4 linked regions of the Macaca mulatta genome follow. The protein of the gene in region 3 interacts with the protein of the main gene of each other region in a pairwise test. Links are inferred from orthologs where the notes say so. Each region holds a gene or a part of one and is shown on either strand. Other genes may lie near its edges.

What was found.
Region 1: the proteins of ATF4 (region 3) and GOLGA1 interact in binary tests that used the Homo sapiens proteins (3 or more experiments, as listed by UniProt). The two-hybrid records come from large-scale screens. The link is inferred for Macaca mulatta from reciprocal best matches to the Homo sapiens genes ATF4 and GOLGA1.
Region 2: the proteins of ATF4 (region 3) and SNAP29 interact in a two-hybrid assay, tested with the Homo sapiens proteins (2 studies listed by BioGRID and IntAct). The link is inferred for Macaca mulatta from reciprocal best matches to the Homo sapiens genes ATF4 and SNAP29.
Region 4: the proteins of ATF4 (region 3) and GCC1 interact in binary tests that used the Homo sapiens proteins (3 or more experiments, as listed by UniProt). The two-hybrid records come from large-scale screens. The link is inferred for Macaca mulatta from reciprocal best matches to the Homo sapiens genes ATF4 and GCC1.

The regions. Positions count from the first base shown.
Region 1 is NC_133420.1:22,827,079-22,831,740, forward strand, and holds the start of GOLGA1 (golgin subfamily A member 1), read left to right. Parts: upstream 1-1,422; 5' UTR 1,423-1,660; intron 1,661-2,340; 5' UTR 2,341-2,390; intron 2,391-3,614; exon of another isoform or gene 3,615-3,716; 5' UTR 3,717-3,769; coding exon 3,770-3,904; intron 3,905-4,662. UniProt on the Homo sapiens protein: Involved in vesicular trafficking at the Golgi apparatus level. Involved in endosome-to-Golgi trafficking. Mechanistically, captures transport vesicles arriving from endosomes via the protein TBC1D23.
Region 2 is NC_133415.1:31,700,218-31,704,157, reverse strand, and holds part of SNAP29 (synaptosomal-associated protein 29), read right to left. Parts: intron 1,225-3,940; coding exon 1,028-1,224; intron 1-1,027. UniProt on the Homo sapiens protein: SNAREs, soluble N-ethylmaleimide-sensitive factor-attachment protein receptors, are essential proteins for fusion of cellular membranes.
Region 3 is NC_133415.1:12,020,841-12,025,307, reverse strand, and holds ATF4 (cyclic AMP-dependent transcription factor ATF-4), read left to right. Parts: upstream 1-1,537; 5' UTR 1,538-2,211; coding exon 2,212-2,437; intron 2,438-2,538; coding exon 2,539-3,368; 3' UTR 3,369-3,451; downstream 3,452-4,467. UniProt on the Homo sapiens protein: Transcription factor that binds the cAMP response element (CRE) (consensus: 5'-GTGACGT[AC][AG]-3') and displays two biological functions, as regulator of metabolic and redox processes under normal cellular conditions, and as master transcription factor during integrated stress response (ISR).
Region 4 is NC_133408.1:167,433,774-167,438,502, reverse strand, and holds the start of GCC1 (GRIP and coiled-coil domain-containing protein 1), read left to right. Parts: upstream 1-1,489; 5' UTR 1,490-1,904; coding exon 1,905-2,936; intron 2,937-3,813; coding exon 3,814-4,729. UniProt on the Homo sapiens protein: Probably involved in maintaining Golgi structure.

The sequences.
Region 1 (4,662 bases), on a different chromosome or scaffold from region 3:
ATTGACAGCTGAACTGTTAGGGTTTGCTTCATTCACATATCTCAAAGGCTTTGAACTATCTTGGGGTTGATGCTTCTTGTTAGTTTGTAAATGTCTGAATCCTGGTTTTGGTTTTTCCGTGCCCTGCTCCTGGAACACGCGAAGGAAGGGGCTGTTGAAGAATTGGGTGAAATCTGCTTACTCTTGGGCTGGTGTTAAGTCTGGGGATGGAACCAGAGTAGGAATGGCTGGCTTGGCACTGACGAGTTCAGGGACCTGACTTAGGTTACTGATGTGGACCGTGACTTTTTGTTTGAGACAGTTTCACTCTTGTTGCCCAAGCTGGAGTGCAATGGCGCAATCTTGGCTCACTGCAACCTCCACCTCCCAGGTTCAAGCGATTCTCCTGCCTCCGCCTCCCAAGTAATTGGGATTCGAGGCATGGGCCACCAAGCCCGGTTAATTTTGTAATTTTAGTAGAGACGGGGTTTCGCTATGTTAGGCTGGTCTGAACTCCTGACCTCGGGTGAACCACCGCGCCCGGCCTGGAATGTGACTTAGAACAAGACAGTTTTTCCTGTTTTGTTTTTTTCTTTTCCTACTGCCTGTATGATTGCTATTTACTTAAAGAGACGGAGTCTCGCCGCGGTGCCCAGGCTGGTCTCGAAGCCCCGGACCCAGAGATCCTCCCAACTCGGTCTTCCGAGTAGCTGGGACCACAGGAGCGGGCGCCGGGCACTTTTGATGCTTTGAACTTTCTTCCTAAGGAGAAAGGAGACGGCCCAGCAGCGGATGGTGAAGCTAATCCAATATAGTGAGCTGCCACTAGCGTTTTTAAGTGCATTACAACGTGGTTCTGCTGGACGTTATGCACTCGGTTGCGATATAAAACGCATCATCTACAGGAGGTGACAGGCGCCAAAGTTTAAAAACTGGTCTCAAGGTGTAAGGACTAGTTTCTGGAGCTACTGCCTTCTGAGTGAAGATGGAGGCGCAGACTTCCCGGGTCACACAGTGGCAAGGCAGCTGCCTAGGGTGCGGCGGGACCGGGCGGCACGGGGGGCGTCTGGCCAAGCAGCGCAGCCCGCGAAGGGTTTGTAGCCAGCACAGCGCAGCGGGGCCTGTGGCACGGACCGGTTCTTTCACTTTTGACACGAAGCCCCTCCCACTTACCACGCTCTGCACACGCCCCTGTTAAAATAGAAAAAGACCAAGAGAGGCCTCGGAGACTCAGTCATCATCTGCGTCTCTGGCCGCTCGCTGACGTGGCGAACTGAAATGACTGAGCGCCCGGCTAGGCACTCGCGCACTCCAGCCGTTCCGGCCCAACCGCCGCCCAGAGGTTAGAACAGTAGCCGCCAAAGGCCGCGCACGGGCGCATGCGCGCGTCGGACCAACTCCCTCGCGCAGTCACTTCCGGCGCGCTGGGAGACGTGCGGTTCCGGGTCGCTGCTCGGCTCTCCAGCCGGGCGGTGGGGGCTGGTGACGCGGTCCGGGGCTCACGAGAGGCCCCGGAGGCGGGGCTTTGCTGGCTGCCCAGAGAGAGGCAGGTGCGCGGGCCAGGACTCCGGGAATGCGAGTAGGCCCCTTATTCTCCCGGTGGCCTCTGTCTGTCCCCACAGCGGCCCGGTCAGGGTTGCCCAAGCCCCAAGGCGGGGGGCGGCACCGGGGTGCTGAAAGGGTGAGAGTGGGGGCGGAGGCGGGCTGCCCCGGCCTGGGAGTCTGGAGCCTAGGATTCCGGGATTCCTCCCTGCGCGACCTTGGACAAGTCGCTCCTCCTCTCTGGGGCTCAGTTTCTCTGCTGTCAAATGGGAGAGATGTTGGATCCTTCCTTTCTTTGACAGTCCAAGCACGGGCGGGGCTGGAGGGAGCCTGAGGGAGTGAGATCCAAACTGCCGTGGCAGGCACCTGCCTGCCTCCCTGGGGGTTAGGCATCTGTCTTTACCCAATCTTGCTTTGCTTTCTCTCAGTGCAAATCCGTGACCAGACAGTCCAGGGTCTGGCCAGGTAAACAGTGTGTGAGTATAGTAATCAACTGAGAAATAAATACTGGCCCCAGGAAAACTTAACCTCATTCAAATTGTTTTGCTTAGGGCTCCCAGGGAGAGATGAGTTTAGGCACCCGCTGTGGTGATCAATTCTGTTCTGTGCGCTTGTAAGTGACGCTCTTAGGCAAATAACAAATTCATAGGAGATCAGGGTTAGGGAGGGTATCCCACTGAGAGTTGTGACAGGTTTTCTTACCCCCTTTAATCCTTCTTTTGTCCCTCTTCCTTCACTACTTCTCCCCGTCCCCACCCAACATTTCGGCCATACACTTGGAAAGAAATATCCAATGAATTTTATTTTGTCTTCATGCAGGACAGAATGCTTTGACCTCCAAGCTGTTTTAGATCTAGTAGATAAGCCAGGTGAGTAAGTGGTTTACAGACATTGAAAGTAAAGTTTCTGAAGAATTGTACAGACTTAATGGAGGATCTGAAGTGGTAAGATGGCATTTGTGTATCTCAGAGCAGAGCTTAGGTGTCCTCCACAAAACATGGAAAGTTAAGGTTGGAACCAGAATATTAGTGTTTTATACACCATTGGGAGGAAAAGATTTTTGAATCTTTCTTTGAATATCATGTCAAACATTCTGAAGAAAAGAAACAGGCCGGGTGCAGTGGCTCACACCTGTAATCCCAGCACTTCAGAAGGCCGAGGCAGGTGGATCACCTGAGGTCAAGAGTTTGAGACCAGCCTGACCAACACGGAGAAACCTCATCTCTACTAAAAATACAAAATAAGCCGGGCGTGATGGCGCATGCCTGTAATCCCAGCTGCTCGGGAGGCTGAGGCAGGAGAATCACTTGAACCCGGGAGGTGGAGGTTGCAGTGAGCCCAGATTGTGCCATTGCACTCCAGCCTGGGCAACAAGAAAGAAACTCCATCTCAAAAAAAAAAAAAAAAAAAAAGAAAAAGAAACTGATTGGAGGTAATTTTATCAAACTCAGAACCACACAGCGTCTCCAGAAAATGTTCAAGGATATCAGATACCTATACAACAGAGTTGTCTGGCTTGTCGTCTTTTTTCTGTTACCAGCTTTTCCTATTGGACAGTTGATTGCAAACCATCCTGAAACAGTAGGATATTACACCTTTTACATATTGAATTACATATTGGATATTGGATTACATATGAATCGAATTACATGCGTTTTTCCCTTCAACTTAAAAAAATAACACTAAACTGTAGTTAAGCTTATTGGAGGAAGGATTTGAAATCATTAAGTCACGAATATGTGATGTTGATGTCTGCTCTGGGAAATTTTACCAAATGTGTTATATGTCATACTCAACATGGCATAATTAAAAAAAAAAAACAGAGATTTGTGAATGAGAGTCCTCTGTTCAAATACCAGCCCTGCCACTTAGCCACACAATCTTTGATAGATTACTTCATCTCCTTGAGACTGGATTTCTTCATCTTATATGCATATGAAGCACCTGAGTGCTTTTTAAATGTTTAGTAATTGTGTTCTATAAGTGTACATGTAAATTATGAAACTTAATTTTGAAATCTAAAACTTAACAACTCAGATGTGAAATCTTTCCAGTGTTTAACTTTTGAACTGTCCCTTTCATCTGGTTTATAGATCCTGTGTTGCCATAAGCCCTTGGCCCACATTTAAGTGGGAATGCAGCTAGCTTGGATGTCTGAAACTTTGTAGGCACCTGTGTCTGATTCCTAAACACAGGCACCAGGACTACTGAGAGCTCATCATCCGTGCCGGATAGCCACACAGCAAACATGTTTGCAAAACTGAAGAAGAAAATTGCAGAAGAGACTGCTGTTGCTCAGAGACCAGGAGGTGCTACTAGGATCCCACGGTCTGTGAGCAAGGAATCAGTTGCCTCAATGGGAGCTGACTCAGGAGATGACTTTGTAAGTATCTTTACTTAAGAAATATACTTTTGCAGGAAATTCTTCCAATAAATATTTTAAATTGCTTGATTATTTCATACCTTTCATGATTTGTAGCTATATAAGAGCCTGTACATCTGATTCTTCTTACTCTGAGGTACCTTTTTGTTAATTTTTGGTTTGTAAATGTTAAGGTACTCTTTTTTTTTCCTTATTTTTCTGTGAATTCCTCTTCATATTCTCTCCAGTGTCCTCTTGTACTGTTTTTCCATCTGTGTACCTTGTACATCTTCTTTTGCATTTCATTTCTGAAAATGTCTGGGCCTGTTTTCATTGCAGACATATATACTTATATAACAACTAAGTCATTGCTGCTTAACAAGGTCTCTGAGTTGTGGTAAGGGGTTAGCCAGAGTGCATTGTTGTATTGGGAAGGTTGATGGAAAGATGGCAACAGTGATTACAGTATGTTTCTTTTTTTCTTTTTCTTTCTTTTTTTTTGAGATGGACTCTCACTCAGTAGCCTAAGGTGGAGTGCTGTGGCCTGATCTCAGTTCACTGCAACCTCTGCCTCTGGGGCTCAAGCAATTCTTGTGCCTCAGCCTCCAGAGTAGCTGAGACTACAGGTGTACTCCACCATGCCTGGCTAATTTTTTGTATTTTCTTAGAGACAGGTTTTCACCATGTTGCCTAGGGTGGTCTCAAACTCCTGAGCTCAGGCGATCCGCCCGCCTTGGCCTCCCAAAGTGCTGGAATTACAGGTGTGAGCCACCATGCCT
Region 2 (3,940 bases), about 20 Mb from region 3:
TTCAAGCCAAAACCTGAGGAAAGCAACTTCTATCTTTATTTTTTTAATTTTAATTATTTATTTTTATATTTTTTTAGAGACAGGGAGACTCTGTCACTGAGGCTGTAGTGCACTGGCACCATCATAGCTTACTCTAGTCTCTTAACACCTGGGCTAAAGCAATAATTCCACCGCAGTCTCCCCTGTAGCTAGGATTATAGGCAAGTGCCATCATGTCTGGCTAATTGTTTTTTTTCTTTAGTTTTTATAGAGACGAGTCTTTGCTATGCTGTCTAGGCTGGTCTCAAACAATCCTCCCACCTCAGCCTCTGAAAGCATGGGATTTTACAGATAAGCCACTGAGCTCAGTCTTGTAATTTTAAAATGAAAATCAATGGGTGAATTGGATTAGATATGACAAATTTAGACATAAATTTTTTTATTTTTATTTTTTTGAGACAGGACCTCCCTCTGTAGCTCAGGTTGGAGTGCAGCAGCACCATTACAGCTCACTGCAGCCTTGACCTCCAGGCCTCATGCGATCCTCTTACCTCAGCCTCCTGAGGAGCTGCGACTACAGGTGTGCACCACAATGCTTGGGTAATTTTTGTAAAGACTGGGGTACCACTATGTTGCCCGGGCTGGTCTTGAACTTCTGGACTTAAGCAATCCACTCACCTTGGCATCCCAAAGTTTCGGGATTACAGATGTGAGCCACTGCACCCAGCCCTAAAGACTTTTTAAAGGAAAAATTATGTGAAGTGAGTCACATTTGTACTGATTACGCTGAGGCGAACACCCTCTCTTTCAAAGTAGTGGGGTCACAACTATCGGAGAAGCAGTTGACAGATTACATGTCAATCAAGTGAACATGGGAACACGGAAGAACAGTTTCTGGCTTCACAATGTTTGAGGACAAATATCCTGATGAGTAACTTAAAGGGTTGCTGGATCCCTTCATGACACTGACGTGGACTGAAAGCATTGGTCATTTGCACTAATCCCCACTTCTGCTCCTTTATACCCAGATGGTAGAAGACACACTCACCTGCTGTTGGGCTGGGAGGCGAGGGTGCCATTCTGTTCAGGTGGGGCCTCTGCTGGTTTGGATTTGAAGTAATTGACGAGCCCCCCAAACACGCTCTTAATGCTATTGATGTGTTTCTGGCTGATCTTCAAATCTTGGTCCATCTTGTCCACCATCTTCTCTGTGCGCTCCAGGACTCCTCGCTGACGGACAAGCTCCTGGGGAAACCAAGAGGCGGTGGTATTATAGCTTTCTGTGACTCTCCCCTAGGCCAGTCAAGGACCACATGGAGCAGCCACTTCATAAACTCTCAGTGGGCACATCTGGAGACGGGTACTATCATCTGTGAGGGGCACACTACCCTTTCCAACAACACGTTCCTTTGCCTCTCCCTCCCTGCCCTACCTCTGCTTGCTTTCCTCATTTGTTCATGAGACCCTTTTCCTGAGAGGCTGGTTCACGGCACCATGTTAAGATGGATAGCAGAGGCCTGGCGCAGTGGCTCACGCCCATAATCCCAGCACTTTGGGAGGCCGAGGTGGGCAGATCACGAGGTCAGGAGTTCAAGACCAGCCTGGCCAACATGGTGAAACCCCTGTCTACTAAAAATACAAAAAGTAGCCAGCTGTGGTGGTGGGTGCCTGTAATCCCAGCCACTCGGGAGGCTGAGGCAGGAGAATCACTTCAACCTGGGAGGCGGAGGTTGCAGTGAGCTGAGATTGTACCACGGCACTCCAGCCTGGGCAACAGAGCAAGACCCCATCTCGATGCTGGGGGCAGCGGGTAAGATGGATGGCAATGTGCCTGTGAGGTTCAGAGTCCAGGGCCTGAACTGGAAGCAGATTCTCTCTAGCCCACCAATTCTGGGAACCCTCACAGACTGGGGCCTGGCACTGCCCCCTGGACTTTGGTTCTTATATTCTTCCTTTATGAAGTTCCCACTTTAGGAGGTCCCAGTGGGCCACCTGAGCCTCCTGGCCATGGTCAAATCCTCGAATTCTATTTCAGGGACCAGTGTCCCTTCTGGTCCTATTAATGTCTGACTCTAGTTCATCCGCAATTCCAGCTTTAAAACCTGTTAACATGTGTGACCCTGTCCCAGGGCCTTTGCACACACCACTGTCTCTGCCTGTAATGTTTTCCATCCGGATACTTATATGGCTCAGCCTCTCATCCCTCATCCAATTAGGGTCTCCTCTCAAAGGCCACTCTCTGAGAGAGGCCTTCCCAGACATCTTCCCTAAAGGAGAACTCCTTCCAACCACCAACCCTCTTCTCCACATCCTTTTCTGTTTTATTTTGAGATGGAGTCTTGCTCTGTCATCCAGGCTGGAGTGCAGTGGCATGATATTAGCTCACTGCAACCTCTGCCTCCTGTGTTCAGGTGATTCTCCTGCCTCAGTCTCCAGAGTAGTTGGGATTCCAGGCGCCTGCCACCACGCATAGCTAGTTTTTTGTATTTTTGGTAGAGACAGGGTTTTACCATGTTGGCCCGGTGGTCTCGAACTCCTGACATCAGGTGATTCACCTGCCTCGGCCTCCCAAAGTGCTGGGATTACAGGTATGAGCCACTGCACCCAGCCTCTCTTTTCTTCACAGCATATGAGCTCCAGGAGGCAGGGACTTGCTCTGTTCACAGATGAGTCTCTGCAAATCTGTCCAGTGGAGACGTGAGTGATGCTCTCTGGCCACAGTGGCAGCCTGATGGTCCCTCCAGAGCTAAAGGTTCTGGTTGTGGATATACATCCACCACAACAGGAACACTACCACTTTCCTTTATTTATGACAAACTTGCTTCAGTCCCTGCTTCAGAACTGATCTACGGCTGCGGCCCATCTGTTGAGCTGCCTTTCCAGCCAGAAGGCTCTCAAGCTTCTTTTTCCTGCTCTCAGGCAGCCTCTGCCCTCAGCTGCCTTCCTCTGAATCTGTTATCCACGCATCACCCTGTGGCTTAGCAATTACACTAACTATGCAAATACTTTTTTTTTTTTTTTTGAGACCGAGTGTTGCTCTGTCGCCTAGGTTGGAGTGCAGTGGCGCAACCTCGGCTCACTGAAAGCTCCGCCTCCTGGGTTCACACCATTCTCCTGCCTCAGCCTCTCGAATAGCTGGGACTACAGGTGCCCGCCAACACGCCCAGCTAATTTTTTGTATTTCTTTTTAGTAGACATGGGGTTTCACTGTGTTGGCTAGGATGGTCTCGATCTCCTGACCTTGTGATCTGCCCGCCTCGGCCTCCCAAAGTGCTGGGATTACAGGCGTGAGTCACCGCGCCCGGCCGCAAGTGTTTTTTAGATATATTCTCTCTTGATGCCTAAAAACAAAGTTAAAAAAAAAAAAAAAAAAGCTTTAATCGCTGAAGAGTAAAATGCAACTGTAATCAGAAAAGCAAAATGCAACTATAAATAAATGGTTGTGGCTTCCTTAAAGTCCTTAAGGAATCAATGTGTAACCTAAGTCCTTGTTTAATGGGTGAAATTTAAAAACATAATGTATACGCAAAAAGCTAAAACACTGGTTGAATTTACTATTAAACTTTAACTCTTGCTGGAAATAAACTTAGAACTGCTGAATTTTACAGCTTTCAACATTTACATTTTTCGCCAGTTCACAAGACATGTCTGAAAAAACCATCAGCCTTTTTTAACTAAAAAGAAAAATGTTTTCTGGACTGTGTCAGTCAGTATGTCAAGCAAATCTTGCAAGGGCTAGTTTTCAAAAGAAAAAAGAGCTGCTAACATATCTGGTGTTTCTGCTTCTTCCATTACCTCAAGTTTATCATCTTCATGTCCATACTGTGGTCTTTTCTGGAATAAGGCAGAGCTACACATTAGGATTAAAGAGATTTTCTCCAGCATCTACACGTTTTTCTAACAGTCCAGTTCCAGCTAGCTTTGCAGGCTGCTGAAGACAGAATAATCTGTAGCTGAAAGA
Region 3 (4,467 bases):
GAAATACTTGTGTGGCCCGGTGAAATGGAGGCGGAAACTCAGTTTCTACCTTCACAGGGCCTGACTGGAGGGGGCTGAGGACGATGCGGAGGTTTCCTGTATTAAAACAGACTACCCCCCCTTCCCAACGCACAACCCCGAGCACGTGGCCGTGGGTTCCCAAGCGCCTCTCCTCCCAGGGCCATGGGCATGACCACCGAAAAGCGGGTTAGGCCGGGGAGTTCAGAACCCGGAGTGAATCGAAACTACCCCAGGTAGATGGCAGCGAAGAAAATTCTGTTCTTAGGGGAACGCAATCTTCGGACACCAGAAGTTCCCCTATGATGCTATTCTGTGGCAGCCTCGCACTTGAGCCGGATGAGAATTGTAAAAACCCAGGTTGGGAGACAGGACGGCGCGTCTTCCCGGCTCCTTTCCAGAGTTTAGACGGAGCCATGCAGACTCAGCTGGCCTTTGGGTGTAGGTGGGCAGGCCCGAGGCGCCCTCTCGAGACCCCTTCAACCTCCCGGGGGCAGCAACACCGTATCGGCTATGAATGGCGTCTCTGGAAAACTCAGGCTTGGAACAGGTAACCCCCCGGTTTCCGCAGGCCAGAAATCAGCCCCCGCAACCGAAGGACGCGCAGGCTGGGAGTGGCGGCGGGGCCGCCAGTGGCGGACCTCCACTGAGGGCGGCGGGACCCGACCGCAGGGGCTGGGCCCTGAGGCCACTATGGGGTGCGCTAGGCTAAGGTCTCCTGGGGGCAGGAGCCAGTGCGATTGTAGCTGGCCAGCAGGCTGGCCGGCCTGAGGCCTGGCAGAGACCCGAGACCCCGACCCTTACCACGCGGACTCCGTGATCCCTCTCCCAGCAGCCGCCCACCTGGGGCCCTGAGCCAATAAGAGCTCGAGGTATATATGACTCACCGTGCCTGGGCCAATCAACTTGACGCGCGCTCTTCGCCAGCACCTCGCGCGATAACCTGGCTTCCTCGGCCTTCACAATAAAAACTCTCCGCCGGAAAACGACCTCTCCCCGCCCACCGCGCCGACACCGGAAGCGAGGCGTGTCTGCGAGATCACTCCGCGCTCCGGCGGCGAAGGAAAGAACGGACTCTGATCATAGAAGTCTAGTAAAGTAGTGCACCTCTCTCGTTTCGTGAGGTCATAAGAACAAACACCTTTTCTCGTCACAGCTACGCGCTGGGCATAAACGGTTGGGGCGTCAAAGGGAGGGAAACGAGCGGGCGGGAGGAGATGGTCACGTGGCCGTGGCGGAAGGATGCGTCGGTGCTGCGTCCCCTTAGAGACGAAGTCTATAAAGGGCCGGCGGGCGGCTGCTGCGGCCATTTCTACTTCGTCCGCCCACAAATGTAGTTTGGTTTGCACGTGTGCGCCTTCCCTCCTCCCCGCCCGCAGGGTCCACGGCCACCATGGCGTATTAGGGGCAGCAGTGCCTGCGGCAGCATTGGCCTTTGCAGCGGCGGCAGCAGCACCAGGCTCTGCAGCGGCACCCCCCCCAGCGGCTTAAGCCATGGCGTGAGTACCAGGGCGGGTCGTCCAGCTGTGCTCCCTGGGCCGGCGCAGGATTTGGGTTGGTGGGGTGCGGCCTGGGGCCGGGGCGGTGCCGCCAAGGAGGAAGCGATTTTACGAGCGCCCGGGACGCGTGGTCTTTGCTTGGGTGTCCCCGAGACGCTCGCGTGCCCGGGATCGGGAAGGCGCATTCTGGTGCCAGGACTGCTTCCACAGGGGCCCTGCCGCCCTCGGACCCCGAGTCCCCCAAGGGTCCCAGGGGTCTCGGCTTTCCCCCCCGCGAAACGTGGCAAGAACCAAGATGGCGGCGGCAGGGCGGCGCCGCGGGCGTGAGTCAAGGGCGGGCGGTGGGCGGGGCGCGGCCGCCCTGGCCTTATTTGGACGCGGGGACGGAGCGCCTTCCTCTTGGTGGCCGGTGGAAGAATCGCCTGGTCTCCGTGAGCGTCCATTTTGTGGAACCTGAGCCGCAGCAGGGAGGGGCGGATGCAACTGCCCCGTTGCCGACTCTATAGATGGCTGGACTAGAGAAGTCCCGCCTCGTAAGTGGAAAGATGAAATTCTCAGACCAGCTAACCTCTAATGGGAGTTGGCTTCTGATTCCCATTCAGGCTTCTCACGGCATTCAGCAGCAGCGTTGCTGTAACCGACAAAGACATCTTCGAATTAAGCACATTCCTCGATTCCAGCAAAGCACCGCAACATGACCGAAATGAGCTTCCTGAGCAGCGAGGTGTTGGTGGGGGACTTGATGTCCCCCTTCGACCAGTCGGGTTTGGGGGCTGAAGAAAGCCTAGGTCTCTTAGATGACTACCTGGAGGTGGCCAAGCACTTCAAACCTCATGGGTTCTCCAGCGACAAGGCTAAGGCGGGCTCCTCCGAATGGCTGGCTGTGGATGGGTTGGTCAGTCCCTCCAACAACGGCAAGGGTGAGTGGGCCACCACCACATCGTCTGGGTGGGATCTAGGGTTAGGGGCCTGTTATCTTTGTATCTGACTCACTTGGCCCTGTCATTCAAATCTTTTGCAGAGGATGCCTTCTCCGGGACAGATTGGATGTTGGAGAAAATGGATTTGAAGGAGTTCGACTTTGATGCCCTGTTGGGTATAGATGACCTGGAAACCATGCCAGATGACCTTTTGACCACGTTGGATGACACGTGTGATCTCTTTGCCCCCCTAGTCCAGGAGACTAACAAGGAGCCCCCACAGACGGTGAACCCAATTGGCCATCTCCCAGAAAGTTTAACAAAACCCGACCAGGTTGCCCCCTTCACCTTCTTGCAACCTCTTCCCCTTTCCCCAGGGGTCCTGTCCTCCACTCCAGATCATTCCTTTAGTTTAGAGCTGGGCAGTGAAGTGGATATCACTGAAGGAGATAGGAAGCCAGATGCCACTGCTTATGTTGCCATGATCCCTCCGTGCATAAAGGAGGAAGACACCCCCTCAGATAATGATAGTGGCATCTGTATGAGCCCGGAGTCCTATCTGGGCTCTCCTCAGCATAGCCCGTCTACCAGGGGCTCTCCAAATAGGAGCCTCCCATCTCCAGGTGTTCTCTGTGGCTCTGCCCGCCCCAAACCTTACGACCCTCCTGGAGAGAAGATGGTAGAAGCAAAAGTAAAGGGTGAGAAACTGGATAAGAAGCTGAAAAAAATGGAGCAAAACAAGACAGCAGCCACTAGGTACCGCCAGAAGAAGAGGGCGGAGCAGGAGGCCCTCACTGGCGAGTGCAAAGAGCTGGAAAAGAAGAATGAGGCTTTAAAAGAGAGGGCGGATTCCCTGGCCAAGGAGATCCAGTACCTGAAAGATTTGATAGAAGAGGTCCGCAAGGCAAGGGGGAAGAAAAGGGTCCCCTAGTTGAGGGTAGTCAGGAGCGTCAGTGTGCTTGTACATAGAGTCTCTGCTGTTGCTGTGTGTTGGAATAAATTATTTTGTAGGGAAAGTACTTGTGTGAATTCCTTTTCTGGCAAATTAGCCGAGTGAGGCGCCAACCACGCATCCCAAACTGGTTATAACATTCCTTGTGAGATCTGGGGAGGAGGGCAGTCCAGGACTGAAGATGGGTACCCAGAGTGGGAACTGCTCGCCCTGCTAGGTGTAAGCCACGATGTCTGATGACTCATGGGGCCATACAGCCGGATAGTTGGCCAACTGTAGCAAGTTGGGTCCTTTACCCAGAGGTGAGTTCGCTGGTTGTGTAGGGAGGAGGCTGGAGCTCTCTGAGAGGTTGGGAGGGAGGGACAGCCTGGGCCTCTTACCTATTTATTCAAGAGGGCTTCATGCCAACAGCTGTCGCCTGAAACCCTGGATAAGCTTGCACAGTCCTTGAGATAAGCACACAAGATTAGTTTTCACTTGTTACCCTGAGTTCTGTAGAAACGTGTTCCTGAAGAAAGAAATGGCTCCTTTTCGGAATTGATGCTGAAGCAGGACAGGAGCTGAGGGTTGGCCTCCGTTTCTCCTTATGGGGTGGAAGGATGACATCCTGCACAGGTTCTGGCTAGAGCTGGGCACAAAGGCTACAGTTCCTGTGAAGGCTGTTGTGCCTGTTGCTACCTAAATAGAAGGCCTGGCATCATGCTAGGATGGATCAGCGCCTAGAAACCACGCCTCCTCACCGCAGCTTCTTCCTGGCAAGCTGGCGGGGAGACCTCGCCTTTCCAGGCAGGCGATGTCTTTTGTGTTGCGGATGAGTGCTTGATTTTGTGTTGCGGATGAGTGCTTGAATGCAAGGATCAGCGTATCCTGGGTAGGTCTGTCTTTCCTCTTGTGTCCTTCAGGATCACAGTTTTCCTTCTGTGGAAGGTGGTGTAGACTGGGTGTGCCCGGGGAATGGCTGGGAGGACAGTGAGGGTGAGTGCGCCCAGGCACTGCTGTAACTGAGCACAGTACGTGTGTTCACCCCGTCCCCGAAGCACACCCAGGAGGCAGACGCCACACTCAGGAGGATTTTTTT
Region 4 (4,729 bases), on a different chromosome or scaffold from region 3:
TGGGCCACTGAGAAACGGGGTCTGAACAGACCTCCAGGTCCTGCCCCATCCTGACCTGCAAAGTCTATACCAAGGACAGACTTCGGGAAACAGATAGGAGTGAGTGCATGACTTTCCTTTTTCCTTCAGTCATAGATTTGCATCACTAAGAAGGCTTTTATGAGGCTGAAGAGTACATTTTAGAGAGTTCCAATATAATAACAGAACTAGTGTTCACCAAGTTAGATCAATTCTACATTTAGCTCTTTTATCAGCCTCTTTGTTTCCATCTCTGTTATCACTACCTTCTCTTCCCCCATGACTGAGTCTCCTCAGAGGTCTCCTTGCCCCTTGTTCCCTCCAACATGTCATACAAGTCTTGATGACATCCCACTGTTCAGATTAAAATCCATTTAGGGCCTTACTATAACCCAAGATAAAATTTAAATGCTGTAAGTTGAGCCCCTACCTATTGTGCCAGCCCCTCTGTTGTCATCTCCTTCACATACCCTAAGCTACTGAATGCTTTCTAGGTGAGTCAAACTCTGATACCCTACAGGTCTTTGCATTTTTTGCACCTACCTGGAATGCTAGTTTCCCTGATCTCTGGTTAGGTGGACAATCAGGACTCATTCTTAAAATCCCGAAGTATTATTCCCAAGAGCCTTCTATGCCTCACCTAGACAGGCCTCTTTCCTCTTAACTTTCATGCCACTTTGAATATACTCAGACATACTGGTGTGATAGCAGGACATATTTGTATATCTGGTTCCTCACTAGATTGTGAGCTCCCTGAGGGCAAGGTTGTGTCTCTTAATGGTGTTACCATCTAGCACAGCACGTGATATGTTGAGAATCAGACTGATTAGGATAGAACTCCTAAACTTACTAGCTGTGTGACCTTGGGCATGTTACGTATAACCTTTCTGCCTCATGTTTTCATATCTGTAAAATATTGCTAATGAGTATAGTGCTTACAAGAATTATTGTAAAGACTAAATAGCAAAACTCTTGTGAGCTCCTGGTATATAGCTGGCACTCAGAATAGACATGGCTATAGAGTGCCCTCCATAAATATTTGTTGAATCAACTCGGCAGAACTAAGGAAGGGTACTATTACGCTGTATGCCTACTAGGTACCAAGCACTGTGCTAGAGAGGAGTGCAGTTTTCGTGGTCTAAATGGGAGTCTTAATTGTTGCCTTTTAGGGATATGGGTCCTGAGCTCCCAAATCGTTGGATGTGTGGTTCACCTGGGTGTTTGTTAAGAATGCAGTGCGACGTTGCCCTCTGTCGCTCGCTGATCGTAGCCCGAGGTCAAGCTTGGGCGCCCTCACAAAACCAGTACCACTCTGGTGTCTTCGACTTTGCTGGCTTCACCCTTCCCAAACCTGTTGTTTGCCGCTCGCGGCCCCACTGCACATTCTCAGCGGGCCGATGTGGCCCCGCCTACCTCGCGCCCACTGGGGGCGGAGCCTGCGGCGCATCGCTGACGTCACTTCCAGCGGACACGGAAGCGCCGTTGTCGGCAGATGTAGTTAGGAAGTCGTGATGGGTCAGCGTAAGCCTCTGGCCGACGTGGGCCGAGGGGGCCGGCCCGGGCTGTTGTGACCCAGACGAGCGGAGAGTGCGGAGCGGCATTTCGGCCAGCGCTGACGAGCCCTGGCAGTGCGCGCGCCTCTGGTGCCAGTGTCGCTCCGCCTCCGGGATAGAATCCGCCCCAGCCCTCTGGGCCTGGGACCCGGCGGCCGCTTTCTCCAGTCCTTCCCGCCGATCCGCATTAGGTCCGGGATAACTGGGTGGAGTAGGTGTGCGGCCCGCCGCCGGAGAGCCCGCTAGCTGTTTCTTTAAGCCCACCCCTGCGTCTTCGCGGCCCTCTCCCGTTCTGCCGGAAAGCTGACGTGGGGCAATCCGTTCAGAACCTCCATGGAGAAGTTTGGGATGAATTTCGGAGGCGGCCCGAGCAAGAAAGACTTGCTGGAGACTATAGAGACGCAGAAGAAGCAGCTTCTCCAGTATCAGGCACGGCTCAAGGATGTGGTCCGTGCCTATAAAAGCCTACTGAAGGAGAAAGAGGCGCTAGAGGCCAGCATCAAGGTGCTGTCGGTATCCCACGAGGCAGATGTGGGCCTCGTAGGTGTCCAGCTTCCAGGCCTCACATTTCCTGACTCTGTGGATGACCGGTGCTCCACTCACAGCGAGGATAGCACTGGGACCGCCACTAGCTTGGATACTGCGGCCAGTCTCACCAGCACCAAGGGTGAGTTTGGGGTAGAAGATGACAGACCGGCCCGGGGACCACCACCTCCAAAGTCCGAAGAGGCCAGTGGGTCCGAAAGTGGCGTTAGCAGTAGCAGTGGGGATGGGCCATTTGCAGTTGGGGAGGTGGACAAAAGACTGCACCAACTGAAGACTCAGTTGGCTACTTTGACTAGTTCTTTGGCCACAGTCACTCAGGAGAAGTCCCGCATGGAGGCTTCTTACGTGGCTGACAAGAAGAAGATGAAACAGGACTTAGAGGATGCCAGTAACAAGGCGGAGGAGGAGAGGGCCCGCCTGGAGGGAGAATTGAAGGGGCTGCAGGAGCAAATAGCAGAAACCAAAGCCCGACTTATCACACAGCAGCATGATCGGGCCCAAGAGCAGAGTGACCATGCCTTGATGCTGCGTGAGCTCCAGAAGCTGCTGCAGGAGGAGAGGACCCAGCGCCAGGACTTGGAGCTTAGGTTAGAAGAGACCCGAGAAGCCCTGGCAGGACGAGCATATGCAGCTGAACAGATGGAAGGATTTGAACTGCAGACCAAGCAGCTGACCCGTGAGGTGGAGGAGCTGAAAAGTGAACTGCAGGTCATTCGAGATGAGAAGAATCAGCCAGACCCCCGGCTGCAAGAACTTCAGGAAGAGGCTGCCCGCCTTAAGAGCCATTTCCAGGCTCAGTTACAGCAGGAAATGAGAAAGGTAATTATCCACATCTTTTTCAAACATCAGTCATTGACCTGAAGTGAGAACTATTAGGGTTTTTTTCCTCCTTTGCTAGTTAGAGCTAAGTGTCTACAGTGTCATTTTTGATGCTGCCTGAGAAGTTCCACTAGAGAACCTGGGAAGTCCTGTTCTATGTGGTGTTGACGTGTGTGCTTCCAGGAGGATGTGGAGCTTCTCAGTGGAGGCTGGGTTGAAGCCAGACAGCTCTGCACTTCTGGGCATTGGCATCTTACCAGCTGTGGTCTATGAAGCAGTATAGCAGCATCTGTACAGTAAAAGGTAATGTGTCCAGTAAAAGGTAGTGTGTCCAAATGTTCTCTTGGTATGTGCTTCTAGGGAGGGTGGCTGAAGGCAAAGGGGATTTTCTCAGAAGTAACCTCTTGTCATTGCCTTTACTCAAGATTTACCTGTTTTGGAGAAGTGCTATACCAGAACAGGTATTGAAAGGGTGCCTCCTTTCAGTGTGGAGAGGGAAATCCGGCTCAGTTTTGAACTTCCAGGAATATTGGATAAGGAAAAGAATGTTGTATGATTTCTTAATAGGATTTGAGGAAGCACCAGAAAAACAACAGTAACACACATTACATGTGAGTTAGGTGGAAAGCAGAACAATAGCAGATATACCAAGGTGCTTAATATTGTTCGGTATATGTGTTTTGCAGAACCCAAGCAGGTAATAGGAACTTTTGTTAGCTCCTGAAGCAACCGAAAAATCCCTAGTTCACATTCTTGCCAGGCCATCCCAAACCTGTGACCCTTTTGCTCCCCTCTCCTTCGAAACCAGGAACTGGTTTCTCGAAGTTTGCTGTGGGGCTTTTGTGGATGCATTTTTGTCTGTTCCCTTGTTTTCCAGACAGCTCTTGCAGAGGATCAACTCCGTCAGCAATCTCAGGTGGAAGAACAGAGGGTGGCAGCCCTGGAAAATCAAATATCCGAGGTGTCTGAGCTGCTAGGCACCTATGAGAAAGCCAAGCAGAAGGACCAGCTGGCCATTCAAAAGCTGAAGGAGCGCATTCTGCAGCTGGACCTGGAGAACAAGACACTGGCTCTAGCAGCCTCCAGCAGGTCCCCTTTAGACAGCCATGGAGAGGAATCCAGTCTGGATGTCAATGTCCTGAAGGATAAGATGGAGAGGCTGAAGAGGTTGCTGCAGGTTGCAGCCAGGAAAAGCCAGGTGACCCTGGATGTGGAGAAGCTCTGTGACCTGGAGATAATGCCTAGCTCGGAGGCTGCTGATGGGGAGAAGGCTACTGCACTCTATTACCAACAGGAGCTGAAACAGCTGAAGGAAGAGTTTGAGAGGTACAAGATGAGGGCCCAGGTCGTCCTCAAAAGCAAGAATACCAAAGATGGTAACCTGGGAAGGGAACTAGAGGCAGCCCAGGAGCAGCTTGCAGAGCTGAAGGAGAAGTATATCTCCCTGCGGCTCTCCTGTGAGGAGCTGGAACAACAACACCAGCAGGAGGCTGAAGACTGGAAGCAGGAGCTGGCCCGGCTGCAGCAGCTCCACCGGCAGGAGCTGGAGCGGTGCCAGCTGGACTTCAGGGACCGCACACTGAAACTGGAGGAGGAGCTGCACAAGCAGCGGGATCGTGCCCTGGCTGTTCTCACTGAGAAGGACTTGGAACTGGAGCAACTGCGTTCTGTGGCCTTGGCCTCTGGGCTGCCAGGACGCAGAAGTCCTGTGGGTGGTGGTGGTCCTGGGGACCCAGCTGACACATCATCCTCTGATAGCCTGACCCAAGCATTACAACTTGCAGCGGCCAATG